2 linked regions of the Nothobranchius furzeri genome follow. The protein of the gene in region 1 interacts with the protein of each later gene in a pairwise test. Links are inferred from orthologs where the notes say so. Each region holds a gene or a part of one and is shown on either strand. Other genes may lie near its edges.

Region 1 (7,218 bases):
TGTTTTATTGCAGAGTTTGCATGGGATTTCGTAAACGACTCCACATTTAAGTCCAGCTGGTATCTTGTCTTTCGGGTGCACTAGTCTGTTTCTAACTGTTGTGTATGGTTTTGTTGGTGTGTTTATGTTGTGTTTTTTCATTGTTGCTATTATTTTTTCTGTTATGCCTTTGATGTATGGTAGGGTTATCACTGGTTTACACCATACACAACAGTTAGAAACAGACTAGTACACCCAAAAGACAAGATACCAGCTGGACTTAAATGTGGAGTCGTTTACGAAATCCCATGCAAACTCTGCAATAAAACACACATAGGAGAAACCGGACGCCAACTCAACACACGAACAATAGAACATAGAAAGGAGTGCGAGAAAGAGGCAAGTCGAAAACACACAAAAGCAGCAACACAAGAAGCAGAAAGCACAATAAAGAAGTCAGCCGTAACAGATCACTGCACAAGAGAAAACCATATAATGGACTGGGACAACACAAGGATCATAAACACCGAACAACAGAAATACAAAAGATGGATAAAGGAAGCTATAGAGATAAGGAGACGTGGATGCGGGGCCATGAACAGAGATGATGGAGTTTACTCATTGGATCGCTCATGGGACTGCATCATCGGAGAGGGGAGAGCGGGAAGCAGAGGGTGACAACGTCCTCTGCTGCCCACGGATAAACGGTGTAGGAAGTGACGCCGCCATCAGCGTCAGCTTTGAGGATGTTTTGCAGTCGGCAAACAAAACGTACGTCAGCAAGGTAAAGAAAAACTTATCTGTGTTTTAAAAAGAACCAAATATGGAATTAAAAAGCAAACAAATTAAAGGTGTTGGAGAGGCAGTGTCAAAGTTCAGACCTACGTTCGTTTACAATGATGTTGCACTGCCTTAACCAGTCCATTCAAGCTGAAAAATACTTCAGTGAGGCTGAATTACATTTCTGCAATGAAAAATGATGTGACAGGCCATCTGTTATAATACACACTTGATGAAGTTGTTACCAGCCAGTTATATGTACCGTTTGCCCCCTTAGATATGTGAAATCCACATTTGAAAACTGCATTTTTATTTACTCAGGTTATTTTTGTTGACATAGCAATTTGTTTTCTGATCTTAAACATTTAAAGATAACATATGTAATAATTTTACATCACAAAACAAACTCATGTCTCAATCATGTTGGTATGAGGTTATAATGAAACAGCCAGCTGGGGGTTGTTGGTTTATTTTCTTTTGAAAAGGTCAAAGAGGGACGTGGTCACTGTTTACAATCTATGAGCCCGCGGGGTTGCTGAGCTAACGCTCTTTTGCTATTCGACACTGGCCAGCAAAACTCTACAATGTTTTGCAAAGATCCTAAGCCAAAGACAGAAGCAACCCAGAAGTTATGTCTTGTACCCCTGAGAAGTCACGGCATCTTTTTGTTTTACTCTATAATCAGGTGAAGCAGGCTAGAGACTAATGTTGAGCTAACAATGCTAATGGTGAATTAGAAAAAAGAAGTTGGCCTTAAAAAAAATCTCTAGCTACTTTTTCAATTACCAACAACTCGATATTACAGTAAAATGTATGTATGAAATGAATAATGAGTCAATTGTGGCATTTTACTTCCTTTTAATGAGTTGTTTAGAAATAAAACTGCAAGCTAAAAGCAAAACAGAAAACAACCACACTTCCATTATTCCCCGAGACAAGCTACGGTAATCAGTGTAGTAAGTGTAGTAACACCCAAGAGTGCTAACACCAGATACGACAAACTATTTATCCATATACTGCATATGATTCGTCTTTGCTTGGTATCCAGAGTCTTCTGGCGCTGAGCCGTAACCGGCAACAGTCACGAAACTCACAAAATGAAAGTGAGTCACCCTGTGTGTTTTGAAAATAGGCTGCAGTAACCAAATTTGGCCACATGATGTCATTCTTACATATTGCACCTTTAAGTGTGACAAAACAAACAAATGGAAGAAATCTATAAGGGGGTAAATATTGTTTTTTCACAAAATTGTGAATAAGCCCTTTAAGCACAAATGCTGCAAACAGATTTATTGCTTATGTGAAAAAGTTTGTGAGAAGGGACCAACTTTTACCAAACAACTGCAAACACACTGCCAACAACTTCCTTAGATCTGTGTGCAGTTAGTGAAAGCAGATTTAAATCTGCCAGTAGAGCTGGGATCATGATGCTGGTCTTGTTCAACAGACAGAAAAAGACAAACAAACAAACAAGGAAACACAGCAGCTGTAATCGTGAACAAAACAAAGATGAAAACAAACTACAATGCAACTGATGTGTGCAGTTTAGTGAAATGTTAGTGAGTGTGTGTTTTGGACACAGTGCAGTTTGTGGTTAGTTATCCTAATAAGGTGTTCGGTGATCGTTTTGATTGATTTGATGTTCAGAGATTTTTTTGTGTGTCTTTTTTAACCAATACAGTTCAGACTTGTGCAATAAATAGTAACAAATAAAAAACAGAACTAATCAGCTTTCAGTGAGTGTTTTATTTTAACTAACCAAGGTCAAAGGGTATTTAGAATAAGTTAACTGATGTTTATATTTTCCACATTTTAAATGCAAAACATGTGCAACAAAAACTTAAAGCATGCAGACCTGAGGGTTTTAAATGCCTTTGGCCCATTAGGCACGGGGCTAGGAGTTCCAGCTGGTGCTGCTGATGTCTTCTCCTTAGAAACATGCATTTTTAGGTCAAATGTTGTCAATAGGTTCAACTAAAAGTCAAAATTAAACAAATGAATAGTATATAAGCTACAAACCCACAAATGTATGAACAAAGGATAACATGATTTGTGTGTTTAGACAATGAAATTAATAAAAAGAGAAACATCAGGAATAGGAGCAGAGACCGACAATTTCCTGTGACATAATATTGTACAAATATTAGAAGATGATGTTTTAGTATCAGTCTAGTCTTAAAACACAACAGTTTCATTATGAGACTTGATCAGCAGCAAAAAAAAAAAAAAAGGTGGCCAAACGCATGCTTTAACTGAACTCACCAAAGTATTTATGACACATACAGTGTGACAACTAGCTCAGGGTTGGAAGAACAGGGAGATGAACTGACAGCATGAGGAGCTTCTTAATTCCCATAATCATTGTGTTTCTGTGGTCTGATTGTGATTCTGTGCACTGTTCGTGCTGCAACGCTTCTCATGTGGAGTCCACAGTCTGTCTCAAACCAGTCGCCGCAGCGCACACTGCCATCGAATGTCCAGCTCCGCAGCCAATAAGAGCAGGTCTCAGGTCAGGAACGAGCTGAGGAGGATAGACGTCAGCCTGTGAACCGTCGCCGCACATTCCGTGTTCATTCCAACCCCACGAGAGAAGGCGCCCCCCTGAAAAGGAGAGTGGTCTCGGGTCAGTGACAGGACATATGAGAGGGGGCAGAGGTGTGTGAATGCGGGCTGAAATTAGCAACAAGCCGAAGGGCTGGGAACAAAAAGATTAATAATAAATAAATAAAACAGCAGCCACACAATCACACGCAGAGCTTCTCTGATCTCAACACCGACACTTGGCCGGCAACGAAGCATTCCTGCTCCTCACAGCTGGTGAGCTTGTTGGTGGGTGTGGTCAGGTCTGCATCACTGAGGAGACACGTGCCATGGCAACACAGTTACCTAATAGGTTCCATTTCCATGGCAACAGAAGCGAGCTTACTTGCTTTCTCAAGGGTAACTCATCTTCCTCATTCAGTAGTTGCGTGTCTTTGTGCCACGTTTTCACTTAATTCATCGAGTGTCGTTCTGTGTCTCTAGTTCGTCACCCACAAAATAATTTACTCTTTCAACAGTTTAAACACCAGGATTTCACACCAGCAGCTTGAGTCAGTGTGAAAACCTGAAACAGCTCACACATCACAGAAGCCCTTTTAGCTCTGTGTGTACGACGCAGCGTGGCTCCATAAGTGGACTTCAGCTGGCATGACTTTTATTATTAGTGATCTGGACGTGATAAAACACAGGGGGACTCATTTTGGTGCTGTGCTTAATTCATACTTACCGAGTATAATACCACACATCGGTGTTTCCATGGCAACAAAGTGCCAGTCCAATATTCTGCACAACAAAATGATAAAAAAATCTCAAACCACGAGTCATTTCCTGGTGAACCAATCCGGTGTCAAAATTCCTGACAATAAACAGCACAACAGTGACCCCCCCCCATAGCCTAAACTTGCATGAGTCTATAAATACAAGTAAATGAACCCTCGTGTGTTTTGTGCCTCCATTGTCCCAGTAAGTTTAAGTATTCACATGAAAATGTTTCCCCAGATTGGATGAGCTGTGCCCACAGAGTCTTTGGTCTATCTCCCACCTCTGGCCATCCAAGATGAATTTCACGCATGAGGACCTCTCGCCCAGGTGCGAACGGGCACAGGCCGAGTGAGCAACAGATATCATAACCAGCGCTCAATGTTCTGTATTCTTTACTGCCTGACCTACTTCAGCACCAGAAATAGCAACACTCAGGTCTTTGCTTCCAATCCTGTTTTGCTATTTCACTGCTCCTGCCACCAGTCGAGACAAGAGGAGAGAAAAGGAAAAGAGAGGAGAGCGTGACAGTGGAGCGAAGTGATGGGAGGTTCACACATGCCACTTCCTCATCCTTAAAATGAACATTAAAGAGCACAAGATGGTGCTTTCAGACTTCTTCTGTTATGATGGACAATCATTAGTTCCCTGCATGTCCATTATGTTTAACAGGTCATCAGAGGATGGAAGGCGAGTGGCGTGTATGCTTGTAGCACCAGCAATGTTAAAAGTTTCTCTCTCTAGATGGAAGTCTGCACTTGCATTTTAGTATTCATCTGTGGTATTTTTATTCATGCTGATGTAAAAATCTGGAGCAGTGTTCAAAATTTAATGTGAGAATTTTAACTCCAAAGTGTCTCATAATTGCTAGATGGAAACTATGGAAAAACCCCAGCAGGATTCTGATCAGAAGCTCAGATGTGTCTGTCTTTAATCACCGTTTATGACTGGAGTGTATTTATTACATTTTTAAGTGGATTGAACTTGCTCTCATATCATCCCACTGAAGAAAAGTGGTTCCTGTAAATGTGGTAATTTAGCTCCTTTAGAGCCTTGTTCTGGGAATCATCTGTCAGCGATATCCATCTCTCCACACTAATTACTCTTGATGAAGAACCACAGAGCAAAAAGCGGACCTTAAAACTTCTCAGCAGATTAATTTATTACACAGTGGTTTAATTCTGAAGCCTTTGATATTCCCATTACAGATGAATAAGATGGGCGAGGTGGTGAAAGTTGGATATGCGTCTTCATTATTTCTTTAAGCAGTCAGACCAAAAGCGACATCTCGCATTTCAGTCACTTACGCTTACAGAAACCAATGGACCTCTTTCCAGACATGAGATACGTAACATTAATGATGTTTTATCAGTTTGTTACCATGATGGCCTTCAGTCATTCAGACACTGATCTTGTTTGCAGTAATGCTCCACACAGAATCGTTCACCTCAGTCAATTACAGAAGGGTCCATGGTGCAGGTAGTATTTATGATCTCCAATAGGCTGGGAAGTATGATAAAGTATAAGATGAGAACATTACTTTTCTAACATTGAAGTAGGCCTGCTCGATTATAGCAAAAATTATAATTATTTTGACTGAAATTTAGATTTTGATTATTTACGACAATCTTAAATTAACGTTCATATACACGGTGCAAACATTTACAATATAAAAATAAAGAGAAAAACAAACATCTTATGTTGTAGTGAACTTCTACAACCTCCTGCATAATAATTATCTAGTGTGCAGTAGCACGATGCAACGTGTCGCTCAAATAGATGAAGTATTATTTTCCAGTCTGCAAAATAGGTGTGGCGTGAAAGCGCATGAAGACAGTCTAATGTGTCTTATGCTCATAGCATGAGAGTTTGCAGCCCAACAATGAATCCATTTCAGATATGGCTCGCTGTACATTGAATTTATTTTGCTTATGAACACAGTTTTTTTAAAGAAGAAAGAAAACAATCTTTTATATAGCGCCTCTCACGATAAAAAACATGAAGCGCTTCACAAGAACAAATTTTTCAAAAATAAAAAAGATTTTTTTTTAAAGATTGAAAGTTATCATAAAGAAAAAAAATTGTGATTAAAAATGTAAGGAAAGAGAACATGAATAAGAAAGAGGTATTAGTAGCAGAAAAAGCATGGTGATGAAAGTTACCCAAAAACCAGCTTGAACAGATGAGTTTTCAGCTGCTTTTTAAAGGAGACCACCAAGTCCACTGATCTCAGGCTCAGGGGGAGAGAGTTCCAGAGTCTGGGGGCCACAGCAGCAGATGATCTGTCACCTTTGGTCTTTAGCCTGGTGCTGCACAACCAGTAGGCTTTGGTCACTGGACCTCAGGGACCTGCTGGGGGTGTAGGGACTGACAAGATCACCAATGTAAGATGGTGCTTGTCCATGTAAGGCCCTATAGACCAGAACCAGGATCTTGAAATGAACCCTGAAGTTGACTGGCAGCCAGTGAAGCTGGAGGAGAAGCGCGGTGATGTGGGTGTACTTTGACAATATAGTCAGAAGCTCAAGACAAGCATTGTGAACCTCCTGTAGATGGTTCAGGGAGGTTTTGTTCAGAAAAGTGAACAGCAAGTTGCAGTAGTCTAAGCGTGAGGAGATGAAGGTGTGAGTTAGATCGCTAAGAAAGGTTTAAGATTGGTCAGTCAACGTAACGTGGTTACGCTTCACATTAGTACTTAATTCTCTTTCCGGAAGGACAGTCTGTAGCACAGGATGTGTTGTTAGCTAATCCACATGGAATTTAGATGACAAAGTTTTACAGAAAGTAGCTATGGGTCCTCAGAAATATCACTAAATTGTTCGCTAGGCACTTTTGGGAAAAATAACTCACAAAGGGTGAGCAAATAAGTGGATCCTTTTGTTAATCGTTCAAAACCCATATCACATTGGGATTAAAATTTGATTAATCAACCAGCTCTACATTTAGGTTAAATGATCAATCATTGTTTAAAAAAATAACATTAATTATTATTATTATTATTATTATTATTATTATTATTATTATTATTCCCATGGGCTCACCATCGTGGGAGGGGCCAAAGGGGTCGGGTGCAGTGTGTGACAGGTGATAGTCGAGGGAGGGGACCATGGCGGTCTGATCCTCGGCTACAGAAGCTGGCTCTTGGCACATGGAATGTCA
Region 2 (7,816 bases), on another chromosome or scaffold:
TGCTGCGTTGCCAGAATTAGTGCGCAAAATGGATGTCATCTCAGAGGGGGTCACTGGACGGTGTGGAGATGTTTAATACCTGAATTGTCTTCACGGGAGGACTTGAATGATCAATACAGACTTTAAGGCAGAGAGGAAAATTATCTCTGCCTGACCCAAACCAAGTCATGTTATCCAATCTGACACCATAGCAGCCTTGGAGTTGCGTGCAACAACCCCCACGACGGAAGGAATGCAGACAGATGCTGTGAACCCCCCCCCCCCCCCCCCCCCCCCCCCGCCTTCAGATTGTGGTCTCTGCCTAGCGAGGCCATCAGAATGCAGGAACTCAACGTGCTCTGCCTTTTCCCGTGACCTCCCACCCACCTGTGGACACAGTTGGCTGAGCGCCACACGGGCTGCTCCCGCTGAGGACTCAGGATCCCAGCCCCCTCCACCCCCCCCCCCCCACACCCCCCGAAGTCTCATGTTGTGAACTGTGACGTTCGTGCTTATATGTTGAGGTGTTTTTTTGCATAGTAAAGCAACTCCCTGCCGGGAGTAACTCTGGTCTGCCTTTTTCTCCCTCCCCCAACTCTCCTCATGTAATCCCCTCTTCATCTAACTGAAATAAGCGCCGTTATGGCTGCTCTCGTGGTCCGCCTGTATCTGTTCTGTCTATATTTGTGTGTGTAACCTTGGTCAGGCTGTTCTGTGAAGTCAAGTTCCTATGCTCTGGTTCGCTGGAGCACTGGCAATAAAGCTCTCTCTAAAGCTCTCTCTGATCTGTCCAACTTCTATTTAATGACAATGATAATAAATAAATTCCAGAAGTAAAGCTTCTTAACCCTCCCACTGTCCTAACGGGTGTGACCCCGCCAGGAAAGTTGACCATTGAGCAGGGCTGATGGTTTATCCCTTGAGGTCCACGTGGCAGGGGTGAGCACCACCTCACCCCTGCCACGTGGACCTCAAGAGATAAACCATCAATCCTGCTCAATGGTCAACTTTCCTCGCGGGCAGGGGCGGATTCAGAACTGAAGAAGATCCGGGGCTTAACACACGCGCACACACACATGACATGCACTAGTCATATTTGTCTTGTACCACATAATTTTTAATCTGAAGCTACATAATAAGCATTTTCAGGGCAGAGTATTGTTCCTGTTAGTGTTTAGTGTGAGATGATAGTAAATATTCCCTTTCTTTCTCCAACAACTTTACCTGATAAGCTAACTTTAGGCAAACCAGCAGCACAACAAATATTTTCAAATAAGACTCACAAACCTGAGTCAACACCAGTCTCATCAAAGCTGGGGTTCTGTCGCCGTACTTTTGGTCTAAAAAAACGTCCTTATGTCCATCTTCACTCATGCGTTTCAGGCAGAGAGTGTAGAAGAAGCCGGCTGCTGAAGGGCTTCTTCTTCAGTGGTGGAGGCTCAGGCAGGCTGTATACAAACTACTGCCAGCTGCTCCCTCTCTGTTGGGCTTTGGTACTGCATGTTACTTCCACGTTTCAGATCCGGGGCTTTTCATAAAACATTCAGGGCTTGAGCCCAAGTAGCCGGGCCTAACGCCGCCCCTTCTCGTGGGTGTCATGGTCTGAGGCAAGGCCGGATTAACCATATGGGCAGCTGGGCAATTGCCCAGGGCCCAAGAACTCTAGGGCAGCAAGGGCACGATTGGGCTCATCACCTCCAGGAAAGCAGAGTAGATCGAAGAAAAGTTGAGAAGAAAGAGATTAAGATGATTTTGAAATTTAGGCAGGAAGATGAAAATATCAGAGTCAGTCCAATAGCGTTGTCGGGGGAGTTGAAAAAGAAGATTGGAGATGTGGAGGTGGAGAAAACATTGAGGGATGGTAGCCTGTTGATAATTTGAAGAACAGAAATGCAAAGCAGTGCCTATTGACAATATATGTAAGAAAGTGGTGTGTGAGAAAAAAGTGTTAGGAGAAAACAGATTCACACGGGGAGTGATGTTGGGGAATCCGATTGAAGAAGATCTGGAAAAACTCAAAAGAAGTATTCAGGGAGGAGAGTTGAATAACATCAAACATTTGATGAGAACAGAGAATGGTCAGAGGATGGAGAGTAAATCCGTCATGGTTGGATGTTTGAGTTTCCCAGTCAGAGCGTACGTTCCGCCACCATTAAGGTGCTTCAAATTTCAGAGGTATGGTCACATTGCTGCAGCTTGCAAAGGGAAACTGAGGTGCCCTAAATGTGGTGGAGAACATACAGTAAATATGATAAATGCGAGGATAATGTGCAAGAGAAATGTTGCAACTGTGGAGGCCAACATAGAGTAACATACGGAGGTTGTGGAGTAAGGAAAAGAGCGGTGGAAGTTCAACAGATTAAATCAATCAGTAATGTGAGCTATGCAGAAACAGTGAAGGGAGCTCAAAAGGGAAATGGTGTCCCACAAATGCTAAAAGCAGCTGATGAAATGAGTCAAGGAGAGGTGAGTGAGACAAGACTGACAGCTGGTAAACTTGTCTTATTCATGGCTTATGTTATCAATTGCACAGATCAGGTGAAACACAAATCAGAGAAAATAAAAATAATTATAAGAGGAGCAGAAAATGTTCTTGCATTAAAAGATAATTCATTGGGAACATAACTAGAATATCAGGTAAAGCAGGAAGATCAACTGACAGAATGCCAGAAGTCTTTTAGCAAGTGTGCAAGAGTTCAAAGGACTTATTGAAGGACTAAATAAGAAGCCAGATTTATGTGTATAAGAAACATGGTTGAAGTCCATATAGGATTTTAGTATTAAAGGTTATGTTGGTGTAAGGAGGGATGGAAATGAGGGGAATTGAGGAGGACGTGTTACGTAGAAGAAATACTGTATAGATTAGTACCATCGACATATAAATATTGGACAATGGGTTTCCATATAAATATTGGACAATGGGTTTCCATAGACTCCAATAACACGTTTTGGAAGAGAAATGGGAAGTGGCCACCACCGCCATTTTGACCGTGTCACAGGTTCCGTCAAGCTCAGACGATTCCACAAAAGGGAAGAGAGGTGGAGCTGAGGGTGGGGCTGTAAGGCTGGGATCAACTGACGAAACCCGGTCGAACTAGCTACAAGCTAGCCTGAAGCTAACCCAGTGTTGGGAGTAACGACGTTTAAGTATAACAGCGTCCGGTCAAATGTTTGGATGGATTAGAAATTTTTTGTTAGATAGAAATATTCAAGTCAAAATTGGGAAAAGTTAGTCAGAAAAATATTTTATTGAGAACGGCACTCCTCAGGGGAGTATAGTGAGCCCTCTATTGTTCTCAATAATGATAAATGATGTATTTAAATCAACCCAGTAACAGCTACAGGTGGAAATGGGAGAGATGCCTTTGAAGTTAAGAAGAACTCAACTTATAAGTATGTAGTGGGCTAGCCTGAAGGGAAGTAATATGTCTCATCCAGTCCATCATGTATTAAAACTGTGCTGGGAAAAAGAAGAGAGGGACACAAAAAATGTTGGATGGAGAATGGAGGAAAAACTTGAAGACTTATGCTGTGGTATTTACAGTTTGAAGAAGAAGAAGGTTTCATTAGGCGTAATGACCATCTGGTGCGGCAGGTGGCACTATGCTACTTCGAAGGCAGCCGTAAAGCACCGCCGAAGAAGAAGGCTCGCTTGAAACATGGGGTTGTCCTGTAGCAGATAGTTTATGGTGTCTTCGGTGAAACATGTCAGTGTTTCATGATGAGGTGGAGATCGAGGACTTTGAGTTAGACGAGGAGACCGACACGTATTACTTCCCGTGTCCCTGCGGAGACCGCTTCAGCATAACCAAAGTGAGCTCACTGGCAGCTAACGGCTAACAGCTAGCTGCTGCACACAACACTAGAACCTGTCTAACCCGAACCAGCTGAAACGTTTTGCGGGATTATGTTACAACCCATTTGTTTTTATGTGCTTAAACATGATTGATAGTGAGTTTTGTCTTTATATGTAAAAAAAATCTATGTTTAAATTGTTGCTCGGCTGGAATTTCAGACCAGATGATCGTTGAGTCCGGTTGGAGGTTTGTAGTTTTGGGCAGAGCAGAACCATGAGTGGCGTGAGTCTGAACCTGTGTGTGTTTAAGGAGGACCTGGAGAACGGGGAGGAGGTGGCCATGTGTCCCAGCTGTTCCCTCATCATTAAAGTCATCTATGATAAGGTAGCTAACATCCCAACACCACCAAGCTGGTTTGGTACCAGAGCCTGACCCAGAACCGGTTCTTTGGCTTTCCAGCACCAAAGCGCCTGTTTCTTGGTTCCAAACCAGTGCTGCACCTGGCACCAACCCTTAGCTGGGTCAGAACTGTTGCTTGCTAAGAACCGCATGCACCATGTCACCTGATCACCTGGGTCCACCGTATCAGGGCAAAACAAATGTGTAGTGTGGCTTCATCTGGTTCAAGCTCAGTTCAGCTATCAGAAGAAGCAGCTCACCTAGGTGGGGCAACAGTGAGTCACAGGGGTGTTGAACGGAGGGGACAAGTGGCGACTGGAGGCTCGTACTTATTTGCTTTGTTAAATCCAGGTGTGTTATTCTATATGTCATAATAAAACACCTGGATGTGGATTAGTGTGCACACCTATGAAATGGACATCTGGACATAATTTACTAAACACTTAAAACAGTTTTTATTGTTAAAGGAACATCAGTAAAGATGTGTATAAGGAAGAATATACACAGGTGCCCTAGGTGAGATTACTCCTTGGCAGCCCCTCATCCCCACTCTGCACACACACACACACACACCCTTTTATCTCGGTGTGCCCCTCGCACAAACAGAGTTTAAGGACGGCAGCCATCTAAACAGTTCAGTTTAGCAACAAGAATGTCGGCGGTCTCACCTTATTGGTCAGCCTGCAGACAGACTGACCAAAACATTGTTTGTGTTTCAGGAGCTATTCATGTCAGGAGAAGTGATCGAGGCTCCGCCGGAGCTCAAACTGCAGCAGGCTCAGTCCTGAAACTGGACTTCAGTGTAAGCTCTAATCTCTGAGAAGATCCTGGTGTGTGCCGTGCCCTGCTGGGACAGGTCAGACTCATGCTGTGAATTAATGGATCGGCTGTTGGGAGTTCCTCGTCCAGGATCCAGAACCCACCCCCTAGGAATGGGTTCAGTTACCGCAGAGAAAGTTGGCATGTTCAGCTTCTCGTTGATGTGGATTTACTGACTATTTTATTAAATATTTATGTTCATGCCTAGTCTGACGGGTTTTTTCTTTGGTGCTGTTCAGCTTTACCTCCTCATCAGCTGTTTGTGCAATAAATAAAAGAATAGCTGTTAGACTTTATACATTCGTTTGTGTAAAACTCAACTCATAAAAATTTCTGATCTTCTGTCACAATCTTCTGTAAATGCTACCTGAACCCCAGGGCGTGTGCTGATGTGATGCTGATCATTTTCAGAAGATTTTAATGTGACTCAGCTAAAGCAGAAATCTGCTGCTTCAGGTGAAAATGGGCTCCTTTGATCTCTTTTCAGGTGATGGTATTTTCTCCTGTATCCTGTCAGGCTGTAAAGCCATCAGAATCCATGAACTGGTGGACAAGACTATAGTGCATGAATTTGTCTGGAGTCTGGATTACTGTAATTCATTACTCTCAGGAAGTCCACAGAATGTAGTTAAAAGTCTTCAGCTTGTCCAAAATGCTGCAGCTAGAGTTCTGATGAGAATTTAAAAGAGAGATCATATCTCTCCTGTCTTAGCTTCCCTACATTGGCTACCTGTTAAATTCAGAATAGATTTTAAGATCCTCCTCTTCTCACATATAAAGCTCTAAAGTGCATCCCAACAAATAAGACAACCGACACCCAAATCACATCTGTCAGCCAGAACCGGCCCGCCAGCAATAACTTTTCACCCAGCAAATTATTTTGTATTTTCACTATTTCTTAACTTTTGTTTTCTTATTTGACTCATTTATTAATTATAAGCAGTTTGGAAATGCTTTCTGAAAAAGTTATGAAATAATCAAGATTAGGTTAATAAATAAAACAGATTAGATTAATAAATAAAATGGATTACAGTAATAAATAAAATGGATTACAGTAATAAATAAAATTAGGTTACTAAAATGGATTAAAGTAATAAATAAGATGGATTACAGTAATAAATAAAATGGATTAGGTTACTAAATAAATTACAGTAATAAATAAAATGGATTAGGTTACTAAATAAGATGGATTACAGTAATAAATAAGATGGATTAGGTTACTAAATAAGGATTACAGTAATAAAAAAGATGGATTACAGTAATAAATAAAATGGATTAGGTTACTAAATAAAATGAATTACAATAATAAGTAAGATGGATTACAGTAATAAATAAAATGGATTACAGTAATAAATACAATGGATTAGGTTACTAAATAAGGTTTACAATAATAAATAAGATGGATTACAGTAATAAATAAGATGGATTAGGTTACTAAAATGGATTACAGTAATAAATAAAATGGATTAGGTTACTAAATAAGGATTACAGTAATAAATAAGAAGGATTACAGTAATAAATAAGATGGATTACAGTAATAAATAAAATGGATTAGGTTACTAAATAAGGATTACAGTAATAAATAAGAAGGATTACAGTAATAAATAAAATGGATTAGGTTACTAAATAAAATGGATTACAGTAATAAATAAGATGGATTAGGTTACTAAATAAGGATTACAGTAATAAATAGATGGATTACTGTAATAAATAAAATGGATTAGGTTACTAAAATGGATTACAGTAATAAATAAAATAGATTCGGTTACTAAAATCGATTACAGTAATAAATAAAATGGATTACAGTAATAAATAAAATGGATTAGGTTACTAAATAAGGATTACAGTAATAAATAGATGGATTACTGTAATAAATAAAATGGATTAGGTTACTAAAATGGATTACAGTAATAAATAAAATGGATTAGGTTACTAAAATGGATTACAGTAATAAATAAAATGGATTAGGTTACTAAATAAGATGGATTACAGTAATAAATAAAATGGATTACAGTAATAAATAAAATGGATTAGGTTACTAAATAATGATTACAGTAATAAATAGATGGATTACTGTAATAAATAAAATGGATTAGGTTACTAAAATGGATTACAGTAATAAATAAAATGGATTAGGTTACTAAATAAGATGGATTACAGTAATAAATAAAATGGATTACAGTAATAAATAAAATGGATTAGGTTACTAAATAAGGATTACAGTAATAAATAAGATGGATTACAGTAATAAATAAAATGGATTACAGTAATAAGATGGATGGATAAAGGATTTACCTTGTGAAGGAGATTTTCAACATTCATAAAACCAGATAAACAATGTATAGAAGGTAGCAGCAGCAATGGAACAGCAGTTTCTAATTATTTTATAAACATAAAACAATTAACAGACTGAATAATGTACAAGTCTAGGTTTTCTTTGCAACAGTTACAGATGAAAGGTGATCCCACCCACCCACCGTAGCCTCGTCATCTCTAAGCCAAGTTAGACAGCTAATAAATACAGAAACATCCACAAACAGCCATTTACACAACAACTGGGCTGTCGTAAAGTCGTTATTGGTTTTGTAGAACCACATAAAATATCGATTGTGGTCTCAACCTGAATAACATGCAGATAGCCTAGGCGGGACACATGGCTCACAATTAAGCCACTTTCAAAAGCAAAAGCGTTACTTTCAACATGTGCAAGTATGTTGTCTCAAGCCCGTGTGTTCTAAGGTTTGTAACAAGGGAAACCGCTTGTAAATCCGTTAAAATTTCATCGAGTTAAGAGTGTTTTTGTTAAAGCTGATCACTCACCT

Evidence for each region. The genes of interacting proteins can lie anywhere in the genome.
Region 2: the proteins of sergef (region 1) and dph3 interact in binary tests that used the Homo sapiens proteins (3 or more experiments, as listed by UniProt). The link is inferred for Nothobranchius furzeri from reciprocal best matches to the Homo sapiens genes SERGEF and DPH3.

The regions. Positions count from the first base shown.
Region 1 is NC_091744.1:64,859,242-64,866,459, forward strand, and holds the end of sergef (secretion-regulating guanine nucleotide exchange factor), read right to left. Parts: intron 4,539-7,218; exon of another isoform or gene 4,415-4,538; coding exon of another isoform or gene 4,300-4,414; intron 4,084-4,299; coding exon of another isoform or gene 4,028-4,083; intron 3,361-4,027; coding exon 3,176-3,360; 3' UTR 2,486-3,175; downstream 1-2,485. Other genes in the region: kcnc1b (potassium voltage-gated channel subfamily C member 1b), read left to right, coding at 4,300-4,414. UniProt on the Homo sapiens protein: Probable guanine nucleotide exchange factor (GEF), which may be involved in the secretion process.
Region 2 is NC_091747.1:68,460,919-68,468,734, reverse strand, and holds dph3 (diphthamide biosynthesis protein 3), read left to right. Parts: upstream 1-3,333; 5' UTR 3,334-3,684; coding exon 3,685-3,792; intron 3,793-4,085; coding exon 4,086-4,160; intron 4,161-4,894; coding exon 4,895-4,963; 3' UTR 4,964-5,199; downstream 5,200-7,816.